Linked DNA regions of Mytilus edulis. The protein of the gene in region 2 binds, or shares a complex with, the protein of the main gene of each other region. Links are inferred from orthologs where the notes say so. Each region holds a gene or a part of one and is shown on either strand. Other genes may lie near its edges.

What was found. Proteins that work in one complex are often made in the same cells at the same time.
Region 1: gamma-tubulin complex component 3 homolog (region 2) and nucleoside diphosphate kinase homolog 7-like share a complex: the UniProt entries of both Homo sapiens proteins name them as parts of the gamma-tubulin ring complex. The link is inferred for Mytilus edulis from reciprocal best matches to the Homo sapiens genes TUBGCP3 and NME7.

The regions. Positions count from the first base shown.
Region 1 is NC_092346.1:81,916,403-81,924,042, forward strand, and holds the start of nucleoside diphosphate kinase homolog 7-like, read left to right. Parts: upstream 1-4,581; 5' UTR 4,582-4,699; coding exon 4,700-4,705; intron 4,706-5,730; coding exon 5,731-5,835; intron 5,836-6,297; coding exon 6,298-6,467; intron 6,468-6,813; coding exon 6,814-6,975; intron 6,976-7,640. UniProt on the Homo sapiens protein: Possesses an intrinsic kinase activity. Displays 3'-5' exonuclease activity with a preference for single-stranded DNA. Does not seem to have nucleoside diphosphate kinase activity.
Region 2 is NC_092346.1:89,141,913-89,149,931, reverse strand, and holds the start of gamma-tubulin complex component 3 homolog, read right to left. Parts: upstream 3,099-8,019; 5' UTR 3,092-3,098; coding exon 2,944-3,091; intron 1-2,943. Other genes in the region: phospholipid-transporting ATPase IF-like, read left to right, coding at 7,118-7,132. UniProt on the Homo sapiens protein: Component of the gamma-tubulin ring complex (gTuRC) which mediates microtubule nucleation.

The DNA of each region.
Region 1 (7,640 bases), about 7.2 Mb from region 2:
TTTACTTTAGTGTTGTTCAAATATTATTGAATCTAAAAATGTACATGTATACAAAATAAATGAAACAACCATCATTTACATGTCATGTATGTAAAACATGCAGCAATATTGCTTCTTAGAGCTCTCTTTTTGCTGCATGGACATGTGTGTCCACAACAGCTGTGCCTGAATGACACATATATGTCCATTTAAAATTTATGCAAGCTTCATGTAATCATTGCTTTATCTTTGACTTAAAAAAAATACCAACATGACCAAAGATAGTACAGTGTAATATTTTCTTTAATGTGTTTCCAATGTAACGACATTCAGGTGTCATATTTTGGGGTACATGACAACTTGTACTTTCAGCAACTTGTAATTTTTGAAATACTAAGGCTTTTCTACCTCAGGCATAGATTACCTTAGCTGGATTTGGCAAAACTTTTAGGAATTTTGGTCCTCAATGCTCTTCAACTTCGTACTTTATTTGGCCTTTTTTTACTTTTTTTGGATTCGAGCGTCACTGATGAGTCTTTTGAAGACGAAACGCGAGTCTGTCGTATACATGTATACAAAATTTAGTCCTGGTATCTATGATGAGTTTATTTGTACCCTTATTTAACCAACTCATACCCATGATTTATTTGATATTATTTACATCTATATACATACATGAAGTTCACAATGTATTGTAACTTTCTTTCATAAACATTGCATCATACTATATAGCAACATATGAATAAAAAACTTTCATTGCTAATTTGATGCGATCATAATTCTTTCAAATATATCAAAACAAATCAAATGCTAATCTTTAATCATTAGTCCTTATATTTTTTTATTATTTTAAATTGTTTAAACAGCAATTTATTTGATATGCATATTAAATAATTATGAGCACACAATATACTAATCTGTGGTCATTAGTGGATGGTAGACCTACAATAAGAGGATGGATTTGATTAAAGAAGAAAAAAACATAAAGAAGTATATGAAAACCAAAAATTGGTATTAATGCTGCACTTTGAACATCAAAATCTGTTGAGTTATACTTGAACAATCACCATCCTCACTGAAAAGAAAATGCATGGCTTAAACATTGTAAAAACCAAGCTTTGGGAAAAAATGTATAAACTACGATGAAATGTGTGATCTTCTTCATTTGCAATCATAGTTCGTTTGTATGCAAGAAGACGGTTATGTCTCATCAAGATGTTCTACAATGTGACACATTTGACAACTGGCAGCATCATCTTTGTGAAACAGGTATGTTGATTTATGTTAGTTTTATTTTTTGTAGAAATTAAGCCCACAGTTTAAACTTTAAACATGCTTTTATCACTGTAATTTTGCTGTTAATTTGCAATTAAACATGTACACTAATCTCACACAAGGACCGTTTCCTAAATGTATTATTGATGGTGAGATGTTTATAAATTATGATAGTATTGTATTGTAAAATAAATTTTGAAAGCGGATCACGAGTTAAACCAGGTAATATCGATGTAGAGACCAGAAAATCTTTGTATTGTGCTACCTGTAAATGTTAAAATTGAAAACGAGCCACCCTTGTCCTCCAATTTTATATGTGCTAGCTGTTGGTTTAAACTATTATAGGATTTAACACCTTTTAAAAGTAATTTATTGGTGTATAAACTCGACCAATTCAAGTTTATGCACCAATAAATTCCTTTAAAAAATGTTTAATCCTTACAATTCTTTAAAATTGGAGATATGTTTTTCCACACTTTTTACCTCTACCACACGTAAATTGTATATTTATGTCATTGAATAGGCCTGGTGCATGAATATATTTGCTGGTAAATGCAAAAATATGTCCTCAATGAAATTTCCTATCTGATAAAAAGTAAACTGCACAGACTCTTATTATCATTCAAACTAATGATTTTGTGTATTATTTCATTTAATGATATTAACGTGCAGTGAAAATAAATTTGTCAACATCTGTGTACCATCTTGTTTACATTGGTTAAGAAAAGAAGTTTGGTCAACTTTGTCTATCGAAAAATAATCAATGTCAAGATTAACTACCGGAAGTCCTCTCGACTAATCATATCAACCTGAGACTACTATAACACATATTAAAGTAGTCTCAGTATCAACGTATTCCCTAATATGCAGATCATATAAGAATTATTAACACAGATAAGTTCATAAAAATCATTTTAAATTTAGTGTGTACATCGAACATGGCGGCCATTGTGATTTCCGTGGTCACCATATTGGATGTACACACTGAATTTAAAGTTTTTATGAACTTATCTGTCTTCTGTAAATCATTGATGAGTTATAAAATACATCGATAATATACTATTATTTAATAATCAATGTTTAAAAGTCACCAATATGTGTTAATATGGGGACGAAGTCCCCAATAACAGTAGAAAATTCAATAAAAAAAAAATTCTGGAAAATTTCCCGAATTTTTCATTGTACTAATGAACTCAAAATCGTTCAAATTTTTTTTGTCGTGTTTTGAAATCCGGGACCTGCGCAGAAATGTACAATGTACTTCCTTTTTCCGGTCTCGTTTGTATGAAACTTTGAGTAAAATATATATTTATCAGTCTAGTATAAAATAGGAAGGAACGCGCAATACCAATTTCATTTTTAATAATTCCTTGATATGAAAAAACGTTACCTGATGATAGCGTTTCTTTGTTTACATTGCATATGACGTCATAATTTAAATAACGTCACAACTAAAATCCCTAACAACAGAACCAAAATCGGAAACGTTACGGTATTTACGTTTCTTTTTTTTTAACAAATTATTAGTTACAAAAAAATAATTCATACAGACTTCGTCCCCATTTACAGGTAATGCCTGCCTCATATTATTAAAATTTCAAGTGTTATTCGGTCATTACAAGTGTTATTCAGTCATTCGAGGTACCGTTGTTATTGAATGAATTACTCTATTTGGCAGCGCACATCAGCAGAATGTTACGAGTGCCAGGACTTTTCGGGTAACTATGCACATATGAACGATAACAACTTGTCTGTTTGTAATTTTCTGTGAACACGAAAATGACCGAAAAGTGTCAGTGATTTAATCCAGTGCTCTAGCTAGAAATCAAAAGGGGCAGGGTGCCAGTGGAGGGCAGGGCACTTTTTATGATAAGAAAAGGCACTGCTAATTTTTTTGTCTACGTTTCTGTGTGTATCACGAGTTAACCAATCTCTTTTTTTTTACTGTATTTGTTGTTTTTTTTAAATAAAAATGCATTTTAACTATAGTCTTTATTTCATTGTTTGTGTAGTTATGAATAATATAGTACATCTTCATCAACATATTATGTTTTTATAGTTTTTCACTCTACCCACTGTCAAAGAATATTTTTTTTTATCTGTATAAAAATTTTAGCTTTTTATACAAAAGATCTTTTATGTTTTTGTGTATTACTAATTTATCAATGTTTAGAACATGGATTGCTAAAAGTATAATTATCAAACAGAAATTGCAATATATTTTTTTTAATATGTTCAAAGACAGTTAATATCCTTAAGGTAACATTATTATGTTATTATATATTCAATTGGTTCTTTATTCCTTTTTTTGATACTAGATAATATTTTTAGAGCACAAATTTGTAATAAGCTAAAACAGGGGAAGTAACTCCAAAATTAATTTCCAACAGGTTTGCGTCAATTAAAAACTGTGCTTGTCGCTAACAAGTTGAGATGGAATGCATTTCTGTGAAGGCATAGTTTTATTTTGATGACTTAAATTCAATTCTAAAGTCATGAAAGTCTTCATTTATACACTCTTCCATTGTGACTTGGAAATCGAAAATGCAGACCCAAGCTAAACACACTCCTGACACATTCATCAAATGTATGACAAAAAGATACATTGTCCTAATTAAATTACCTAGATATTAACACCTTTGAAGTCTTTATCATTGTAATTGATTGTAATGACATGATTAACCTGGGGGCAATCACACAGGTGTCATATATGTAATTAACTTGGAGATCAGAAATCGATGAAACAAAAGGCAATTTTACCAAAACGGCACAAGAGAATTTTGGAAAAAGACGTCAGGGCAGAAGGGCGCGGATGAAGGCACCCAGGGCGCGGCTAGAGGGCATCCAGGGCTCGGCGCCCTTCTATTTTGGGCTAGCGAGACCACTGTAATCTATCACTTGCGAGGATCAACTGCCATTCCCCATATAGTAAACTGATTAACGAGTATTCTTATTGGCGGTAATTACGCAGATGAAACATTTGAAATTGTGTTGTAGTTATTCCTTTCAATATTTCTTCCATGGGGATTGGCCGTATCGACTTTGACTATTGAATTTTGGGCCTAGCGACTTGGTTTGTGGTCGGAACGACCGGAAACTGTAACATTGTCATGCATCACAGGCGCTTAGGATTTGGCTTATTTCTCTTTTTGTTTGCACTGAATATTCAATTTTCTGTTTTTAAACAGCATACCCTACATAGTTTGTCTAAGTACCTTCTTTTCAGGTTGAAAAACAGTAAACAATATTTTTTTCTGCCACCCAAAACATTACAACTTCCGGTTTCATTCAAAGGAAGTGTTCACGGTATCCAATCAGAAAACTCTTAACAAATCAGGTTTTAAAGTTTGTTGCCAACAACAACTTGTACGGACTGCAACACATTTTCAAATATTATTAAGGATCAACACCTCCTACCATAGCATATATACGTACCAGTGTCAACATGGGGGTAAGAGAAAATTTTAAAACGAAATCATCGAAAGAAATCAAATGATTAGATAATAATTTTATTAGTTTAATCATGTTTGAACAGGACCAGGCAAATGCAGGAGCTCTGAAAGCAAATATAGTTTGCTTGATTTGCTTTGGTGTGTACTGTATTTAAATATAGACAGGTGCTATCTGATAAACTCTTGATCATCTTGTCGCCCCACGTAAAATGACTCGTCACATGTAAAATGACTCTTCATGTGCTCACATCCCACATCGAATTCTAGTCAAATCGGCACCTGGTTAAATCAGCATCTGGTCAAATTGGCACCTAGTCAATTTGGCACCTGGTTAAATCGGCACCTGATATTGTAATTTTGGCACCCGTATTAGATATGTTTAATATATGTTTTTTTTCAGTATTTTAAGCAAAAAGATGTTTTAACCGATTTAACCAGGTGTCGATTTGACTTTTTCTATGGGTGCCGATTTGACTTGTACACCCACAACAATCATGACTGTGACTTTCAATAAAAATACACAAACATCGTAGAGAGACAAGAAACTAGAAATAGCAGATCATACAAATTGATTGACTACAAAACAGACATCCGAAAGAACCCTTTTTTTCCCAAATCAATAGTCCAGTGGAACCATCTGGACAAGGATATTGAATGCCCAAAGTCAGTTGAGGGTTTCAGGCCTGCCCTCCTAGAGTTGGACTAACCAACCAGCTCTCCTTCCAATGCGCATATATCCGTGATCGGATCCTGCACTGTGTAACATACATATACAGACAGAACAATCCAATTTTCCAGCCGAAAGTTGGGAGCGGAAAGTTGGTTGCATTCACCAGTTAAATCTAAAATCAGACCCTTCAAATTCTGAACATAATTCAGAACCAAATGACATTTTGGTAACAAGACAATATGAAATCTAGTCACGTTAACTTAGCACCTGGTATAATCAAAACCTGGATATAGTCAATTTAGCATCCCATAATTTATTAACCTTTATATCATGTATATTATATTGTTTATTTAGGAAGAAGACCGTTATTGTTTCATTGCTGAATGGTATGACCCACATGCAGCCTTCATACGCAGATATCAGTTTATGTATTATGTCAAAGATCAAACAGCAGAAATGGTAATACCATAAAAGGTCCATTACATTAAATGTTTTACCAGTTTGATAGCTGGAAATAATAAAATTTAAAATGAAAAGTTGTTTCTTAAATTCAATGATTTTTTTTAAGATTACAAAAAAGAATATGTTAAATTCAATTCATCATTTCTAGTGTTTAAAATCTTAATTTTCACAAGATAGAAATAAAATTCAAAGTAGACCAGCTGGTAGTTAGAGGGTAATATCAATTATGCCCATTAGCTATTACATTCTTATAAATTATTCATTGGGGACATCAACATTTATAATTCAACACAAATCTTTAGTGTTTATCCTGTAAAAAAATTCTCACACTTACAAATGTATAATATGATAAATTTAAATGTTACACCTAATAACTTGAATAATACATTTGATATGTTATGACAAAGTTTTATATCCATTTGCAATACATATATATATATATGATGTTATATCTTTCAGTTTGACATTAAAAATCACAGAGTATTTCTGAAGAAGACAAAAGTTAGTGACTGTTTACGGCTAGAAGATTTATATATTGGTAGTACAGTAAACATCTTGTCTAGACAGCTGAAATTTGTAGATTATGGAGATGATTACACTAGGACCAGATTTTCTCATAAAAAAGAAAGGTTTGTAGAAATAAAATTAGTATATAAAGCAGTTACTTATACTATATTTAACAGGAATACAGTTATTAATAGTCAAATTGTCATTAATAATCATAGTTTTCTTTGCATATTTCAATACTACTTTTCATATTCAAATTTTTAACTAATGTGAATTTCAGGATATACATGAAATAAAAAAAAATAAGATCTGTGCTGTATTGGATAATGAAGGATTGTGCGACATTACAATTTTTCAAACAACAAAATCCCAACATTGAAGTTTTGTTGTGCTGATTTTGAAATAAAATAAAGATCTGTATACATGCAGTTTACTTTCATGAGAGTTTGTGTTACTTTCTATTTGTAGAACTTTGGGTATCATAAAACCCGATTCCACAGCCAAAATGGGTCAAATATTAGATGTGATATATCAAAAAGGATTTATGATTACACAGTTAAAGATGTGTCAGCTGAATAGAAATGAAGCTTTCCAATTTTATCAAGAGCATCAGGGAAAACCATTTTTAGAGTGAGTACTAAAATTATCTGTGTGATTACCATTGTTGCAAATTAAGGTTACTTGAATATATAAAACTGGAAGTGAATCCTAAATCGTATACTGATTTTTTTACTGTTACAAATCTTTAATGATCACTATTTAAATTTAATTTGCACCTGAAAAATGTACTACCATAGATGAACTGTTATACCCCAGTAATACTTTTATTTCTCCATGAAAGAATTGATCTAGAACTTAAATTTACTTTTGTTTGGTAATGCTAATAATGCTAAAATTTAATCAATTGATGTAAATTAGATTTTTCATGAAAAATAAAGCATAAATAGAATTTGTTTTCAGAAGCAATTTAATAAACAAATGTTAAGAAAATATTGTACAAAGAACTCAATGTACCGAAGATGCTGAAATCAGCAAAGAAACCATGAAACAGACACGTATATGTTAAAAGAACACAACTGTTAAAGAAAATAAAATTTGAATAACAATTTTGTTAAACAATGAAACTTTTATCCACAAATAAAATGCAAGAGATCAAAGAAAGAGGAGTAAACAACTATAGGTTACCTTTTGGCCATCAACAATGATCATAGTGTTAAAGCTATTACAGGCCCTGGCAGGAAAAATGTGAAACAGTCTGAAAGAAAAAAAATTTAATAAAAATACATACTGGCAAA
Region 2 (8,019 bases):
ATAAAATAGACTCTCCTTTTCTGTTCGATGTAGATATTTGTACTCTTATTTTTAATATTTGTTGAATTAATAACTTAAAAATAATATTTAGGTAACATTTATAATGATACAAGATAAAGAGAAAAAAATCCTGGGGTGTTCAGTGGTGGAAAGACCTACCTTCTACATAGTATGTCCTTATTATCTACAAAGTTTCATGAAATTCTGTTGCATGGTTTCAGAGGAGTTGCGATGACAAACTGTTGCAGTAGTATATTGAAGCAAATAAATTCAAAGGGGCATAACTCCTAGAAAACAATTAATCGTAATTTCCTGTCGATATGCACATCTATATAGTATGTCCTTATTATCTAAAAAGATTTCATGAAATTCTGTTGAGTGGTTTCAGAAGAGTTGCGATGACAAACTGGTGTAGTATATTGAAGCAAATAAGTTCAAAGGGGTGTAACTCCTAGCAAAAAATTGAATCATAATTTCCTGTCAATATGCACATCTACTTATTATGTCCTTATGTAACATAAAATATTGTCCTCCATGATATATTGTCTGTCGGACAAATTTTCATATAAAATATTGTCCACTGACAGTATTTCATAATGAAATATTGTCTTGGACACAATATTTCATTATGAAATAGTGTCCTTATCCATGACATTTTGTCACCTCCTTCGGGACAATATTTCACTATGAAATTCTGTTCATGACAATACTTCACTATGAAATACTGGCTTTGAAAATATTTTTTAATCAAATTATTTCACAATTAGAAATAGTTCACATTGAGCATGCACATTTTTAGATTTATAACCGAAATTGTTTTGTATAGTAGAGAATTTATATGATTGTTAATAGTGAGTTTCAAATTTGCATAGATACATGTACATTACAAATGGTTAATTATAGATTAAAGTATTGTCTAACAAAAGTTTCATTTTATTACATTAAACTGTACAAATATAAGTTATGTACTGACAATCGCTTATTTTGTAAATATAAACACAGGTATGTGTCGCAGAAAAAAATCCTATTTACCTTCTCTAACATAAATATATGTTGATAACCTCCCTTTCATGAGACAAAATTTAATGACAATCTGTCTATGAAATATTGTCTCAATACTCATAAAATATAACCAAAATATATATAACCTCCCATTAACAGGACACAATTTCGTAGTATTTATCTATGAAATATTGTATTAATTCACACATTGATATTGATATGATGGGCTACGCTAATTACTAAATTTTACCTGGGGAAAAGATTATGACTTTGTTTACCACCCCAAGCTAATCAATGGTTACAACTGGTGTCATAATCTGTTGTTATAGGTAATCCGTTTATCGGATGGGTCATTAATGATCATCAAGATTAATTCGTTCAAATAGAATCGGTCAGTCGGCAATTATCTTTGAAGAAATGTGCATACAACAACTTGGGCACAATTTGCGATGTTTACCGTAGTTTCATGGAAGAAACGTAATGACAGAAAGTTGGAAAACCATTATAAACTCGTTGAAGACATTGTTTTACTTGTTTTCTGTAAAATAAACAGAAAATTCAGACGTATTTGTCATTGACTGCCTTCATTTTTGATACGAAAATATCAAAATCGGCCGCCATATTGTGATCATATTTACATCATATTTACGTACTGTTTATAATCCTCCAAAGAAGGAGCACACCCGAATAAAGAAAGATAACTCAATCTGATTTTTTTCCTAGCATTGAGTAACCCATTTACATATTCTAAAATGTGTCTCCATACTTCTTGCTTAAGAATATATATGTTTAGGTATTTATTTTGAGTTATGGGAAAAGTTAAAGAGGGTCTTAGCAGCAGTGTTGGTAGGGTGCCTTGGTCATCTTTTTCTGTATTCTTTATTTTTGATACTATTTTTCACTGTTGCTTTATATCCTTAAATTGTGAATTTACTGAGCACAGCTGTTTTGTGCTGTATTGCCATCAAGCACAGCAGGGGTAGAAAGGTGAAACTGGTCAAATGTGGTAGACCATAGAAACAGTATGAAACAGATCTCCTTTCAAAACATACTGCATATAAAGTTCAACTGTGCCAAGCAATGATAAAAAAAACTTGTGTGACAAGCTGCTTGACAAGTTTTTCAGCCTTAAAAGTAGAAAGATAGAGTTCTATATGGGCTAAAGATGTTGTTCTTGTATAACCTGTGATTCAACGAATAAACACAAATGTTTGATTAACATCTTTTATTAAAATATGCCCTTTTCATATTATGATATCGCGCGTTAAATGCCCTTTTTCAGGATTGGCACCCTGCCCTTTTGAAAACCTAGCTGGAACACTGGATTTCACTATGCAAATTTGTCCTTCTCTGGACATTTTTCCATAGACGAGGACAATATTTCATGATACATAGTTATGAAATATTGTCTTGTACAATATTTCATAGGACAATATTTTGCTTTACACTTACAAATGTATGACATGTATTATCTAAAAAGGTTTCAAGAAATTCTGAATTTCTGATGTGTGGTTTTAGAGGAGTTGCAATGACAAGAAACAGGACTGACAGACCGAGTCGGTGACTGACAGACAGACTGGTCAAAAACATTATACCCTTCACAACTTCGTTGCATGGAGTATGATTATCACAAGGACCTACGAACTGTAGTCTGTACCCTTGCAGATCTATAAAGAGGGTGTTCAGATAAATTCATTATTAATTGAGGGATCAACATACATTTGAATGCATTTTTAATGTTGCAAAAATCACGATCAAATACTAATACTCTTTCACAAATATTAAACACCTGCCTTATATTATCGATATATTTATATCAATACAGTTTCAATAACGACAAAAATGTGGACACACATTCATGCAATAACAAAATATTTGGTGCATGTCTGAGGATGTTTGATGCCAGACCTTTTGAAGATAACACTGAACATGTTTATTTACCCTCAGGAAGGCCTGTTATTTTACAACAAAGTTTCTGTAACAATAATGTCTCAGTTTCATTTGTGCCCCTCCTATCCATAGCACAAAAAGTGCCAGATATTGACCATTTGCAAGAGGATTGTTTTGCCGCGCTACGGGCAATGCGCATGAAATGTAAAGTTATTTTGTATTTTCGAATGAAAAGAAAGAAAAAGGAAAATTTTAATTTCACCAAATTTGTTTAAAATAATCTTTTTAAATGAGCAACGAATCATAGAAAATTGTGAGCAAAATAATGATACGAAACTATCCGAAAAAATTGTGAAGGGGTGGTCTCAAAATACAAAATGAACCGTATTCATATAAAGGAACATTTCTATATGTGAGTTCGTGGTCTAGTGGTTTTAAGACCGATGGCTACAGTGCTGAAGGTCCCGAGTTCGATTCTCACTCGGGGTGCTAAAAATATCAGTACATCAGAAGGGTAATTTTCACCCTCTCACACACATCTCTGGTACCCAGACCGGAGTTTAAACTAGAATGGGTACTTTGGGGGCCTCGGTTGGTCAAAGTTGTTCCCTACTTTGACCTGGAGATCAATCTTCTGATATCTCTCTGGTTTGTCTGTTTCCACCGAGCGGCCCGGTGGTTCTCTCCGAGTACTTCGGCTTCCTCCATCATAATAACAGACTTCCCGGTGTCCTACACGCTCCCTTGGGCGGTGTTGGGTGGGGATTGTTCTGGTGGGATAATATTGTAAAGGACACATCTCCATTAATCCTTAGGGAGTGTACATGGATCCGCTGTACCCTTGCAGTCAATCAAGGGGTGCGTCTTAATTGGCGGAATCTCAGTACATACATACATACATACATACATACATACATACATACATACATACATACATACATACATACATACATACATACATACATACATACATACATACATACATACATACATACATACATACATACATACATACATACATACATACATACATACATACATACATACATACATACATACATACATACATACATACATACATACATACATACATACATACATACATACATACATACATACATACATACATACATACATACATACATACATACATACATACATACATACATACATACATACATACATACATACATACATACATACATACATACATACATACATACATACATACATACATACATACTTTTTGTAGGTTGGGTGAGGTTTCGCGCTTTTAAAAACGTTTAAACCCGCTGAATTTGTTTGTATCTGTCCTAAATCCGATTGCAGGAATCTACATATTGTTCATTGGTAGTCGTTTGTTGATGTGGTACTTACTGTTTCTCGTTTCTTGCTTTTTATATAGATTAGATAGAGGGGGCAATATGGGATCCATTAACATGTTAACTTAGGCGCGGATCCAGGGGGAGGGGTCCGGTGGTTGGAATCCCTTTTTTTTGGACGATCAATGCATTTGATGGGGACATATAGTTGCTGGATCCGCCCCTGTAACAACACCTCGATTTTGAGAAAAACAGTTAACAACAAATGCAAAAGTGCCGATAACAGTTAACACAGTGGGTTGAAAACGCTTAACAGTTTAAATTTATCTCAGATAACAGTTTACAACACAGCCTTGAACAAGAATGTGTCCTCAGTACACGAATGCCCCACTCGCACTATCATTTTCCATGTTCAGTGGACCGTGAAATTGGGGTAAAAACTCTAATTTGGCATTAAAATTAGAAAGATCATATCATAGGGAACATGTGTACTAAGTTTGAAGTCGATTGGACTTCAACTTCATCAAAAACTACCTTGACCAAAAACTTTAACCTGGAGCGGGACAGACGGACGAACGGACGGACGGACGAACGGACGCACAGACCAGAAAACATAATGCCCCTCTACTATCGTAGGTGGGGCATAAAAAGACCAAAACTGGCCAAGTTAACATAAAAAGGAATTGCCCCCCCCCCCCCTTTTCCCCATTCGACCGTGGCCCGGGTTTTTTTTCAGATTGAATTGTTTTGGGAAATAGGTCAAAGAGACCAACAACCGGCCAAATATACACATGCTTCCAACACTCTGGTTTGTCTGTTTCTCAGGAGTTTTAAAAATGCTTTAACTTAGAATATATGCTTATCATTGAAAAAAACGTACTTCGCAAACGTGTCGACAGAAAAGAAATACACACTGTACGAAGGTTCAAGAGGAACATCCCAATAAAAAAAAAGATATCAACAATAGGGAACGAAAAGGGGTCTCTTGTAAAAAGTAAAGTATATGGTTTCACGTGTGAAACTGTAATTTAAATCAAGAAAAAGACAATGACAGTCGTTTCTGTGCATGCATGTGTAGTGTAGTTTTTGTGGTAAATAGTAAGTATATAATTTTTATTCAAAGCAGAAACAATACTTACTAGAAGCCTGTATAAAACGATATTTGACAGTTTTTGTTTTGTTTGTGCTGCCAATACATATTAGGGACCTGGTCTGAAACGTGCAAAAATTAAACGAAAATAAAATATATCAAGCAGTTTTTTTTTCTTTTCTCATTTGCATTGTTCCAGTTTCTTTACTTTTCTATGTAGTGTTTTGTGAACTAGTTTGTCTTTCGACGTCTTTCATTTGTTTTTGTTTATAATTCATATCAAAGTATTGTTAGCTGTTCTTAATTATCAATAAAATTTATTTTTTATGTAGCTCCTCGACGGTCTGAAATTTGTACACATTAAGGTCGTGTCCGGTCTTGATGTTAATATTGATTATATAATGTCACGTCCTCGAAGATGGGAATCACTTATAATTTCTGAGAATAACTTATTAACTGGTTCTAAAATAAAATACAGCTTGACGATGGTATCCGGTCGTGTTATGATACATAATAATTGCATGGGTATATAGTCTTATTTTCGTGGTTGGTTTCTCAGGACTTATCTAACCACCATTCAAATAATCTGATAAAAAGTGCGAGTAACTGAGGATGGTATGTTGTTACAGGTTTCAATAGCTCTTTGTGTGTATGAATATTTGTCTGATTTGAAGTCTTGAGTGTGTCTTGTACAAGTTATATATATTTGTGGTCTCTTGTTGTTGAATTTTCTCTAGTTCTAAAAATAATTGGATACGTCTCTTAATACTTACCGGTAAGGATAGAGCTCAATCATATTTCCTTTCATTTATTTGCTTATTTTGCTATTTTTTATTTTCTATTTTCTGATTTTCTGATTAACTGTAAATATCAATGTTCCGCGTGTCACCCCATTTTCCAAATTAAATGAAAATATCGCAAAAAAAAGTGAGAAACGATGACATGCGATTTCAGTTAAAATTGGTAATTTTATTGTTCGTAATTGCTGTTCATATGTCATTTGTGAAAAAAAATAGTTGTTGTATACTAGCTCTCTCCTTTTGGGCATTTTAGTTCGATTTTTTTTTTATGATAAAATGCTTATATATAGATATAGAAAGATGTGTTCGACTTCTTTTTTATAACCACATAGTATCCCCCCTTTTTTATAAGTTGTTACAATTCAGTATTTAGCCGCAGTTATCCACATATACTCTTTGTTGTTTTATAAGGTATTTTGTTTTTATAATACCGTTCGCGACCTTTTTCTGGAATCAGATTTCACATCTTGTCTGATGACTCACTTTCCTTTCAAACTTATTAAGATGATTCTTTGACATATCTAATAATGAGGGGAGGATGGTTTTGTTGCTTTAATTCTTCCATTTTCCCTATTTTCCTCTGTCATGTAATGGTATCTGGTAGGTTTTTTTGTGTTTTTTTTTGTGTGTACTCATTTCTGATATATCTGGTATGGTTAGGCCTACGGAAACTGGATGGATGGTTTTTAACTGTTATCCAAGATGTTCTCTTACGGGTTTTGCAATTAATAATTTTGAGTATAATTATTTAAAGGAATTGTATATTTAAATATGCAATTCCTGGATGGATACTGCATACTCGGTGTTTTGAAACGGTCCCTAAAGCAGACGTCTCTGTTCGTTCGGAAGTTCTCTAGATATTTCTACCTAATTGTACACGAAGTGAAAGCAAAACAGGACGTAACAAAAATATGTTGTTTACCTTTAGAAGTGGAAAGCCCAAAGTAGGCTAGAGGTGTATTTGAAATTTGGACAGTAAAGTTTTTACATGGGTGCGGGTGTTACGTGAAAGAATGAATGATTGCTTTGTAAGTATCACACTGTTTATATTTATGAACAATTAGAAGTTGGAACAGTTTGAAAATTCACAAAATATGAAAAACTGAAAAACTAAAAAAAAGTCCACCAGATAAGTTATTGCCGGTACATGTATCTCTCAAACATGGGATACTTTTCAGTGTAATATTTTGATTTATATGTTTTGATTTTGAATCCATAGACAATATTGCTAGTTAGTTACGAATCAGGTGGCTTATCCGATCCCTAGTCCTGTTTCGCAATACCATATATAATCAGTTGTTTTGCAAGGATTCCAAATTTTCCTCGGTGGTGCCATGGGAAGATTGACTATCAGTATATTATAGAACTTCCGTGGGCGATATATGGATAGTCAACCTTCCCCTGGATAGAAACAAGTGCCTGTGAAATTACAAATTTATGTATATGATGAGCAATTGGTACATGTATGTGTGTGTATGACATGTTACGTACAGTATAAGGTGTGTTGTGTTACCAAGAGATAATTAATATATATGCTGTTGCTGTGGTTCTGCTAACTTATCAACATGCATCAGTAAATGAGTTAAGTATAGTTATCCTGTACCATAATTGCAAACTTCGCACCAATGTCAACTCATACCACTGAAAGCAAACTCGGACTGCAGTATTAAAATTCATATAATTGCAAACTCATATCAACTTATTTACTGCACTCAAATCATCATTAGTGGTGTTGAATGATGAATATATATATCTTCATTTAATTGAATATCTCACAAATGTCTCAAAAGGGATTAAAAGTATATGATTTGAAAGTCACAATACCCAATTTATAAAATGATTGTTCCTTGGCTTATAATTGAATGAAGAAGAGAAAGTTTGATTTGATATGTTGTTTTTTTTGTGTTGATAACCC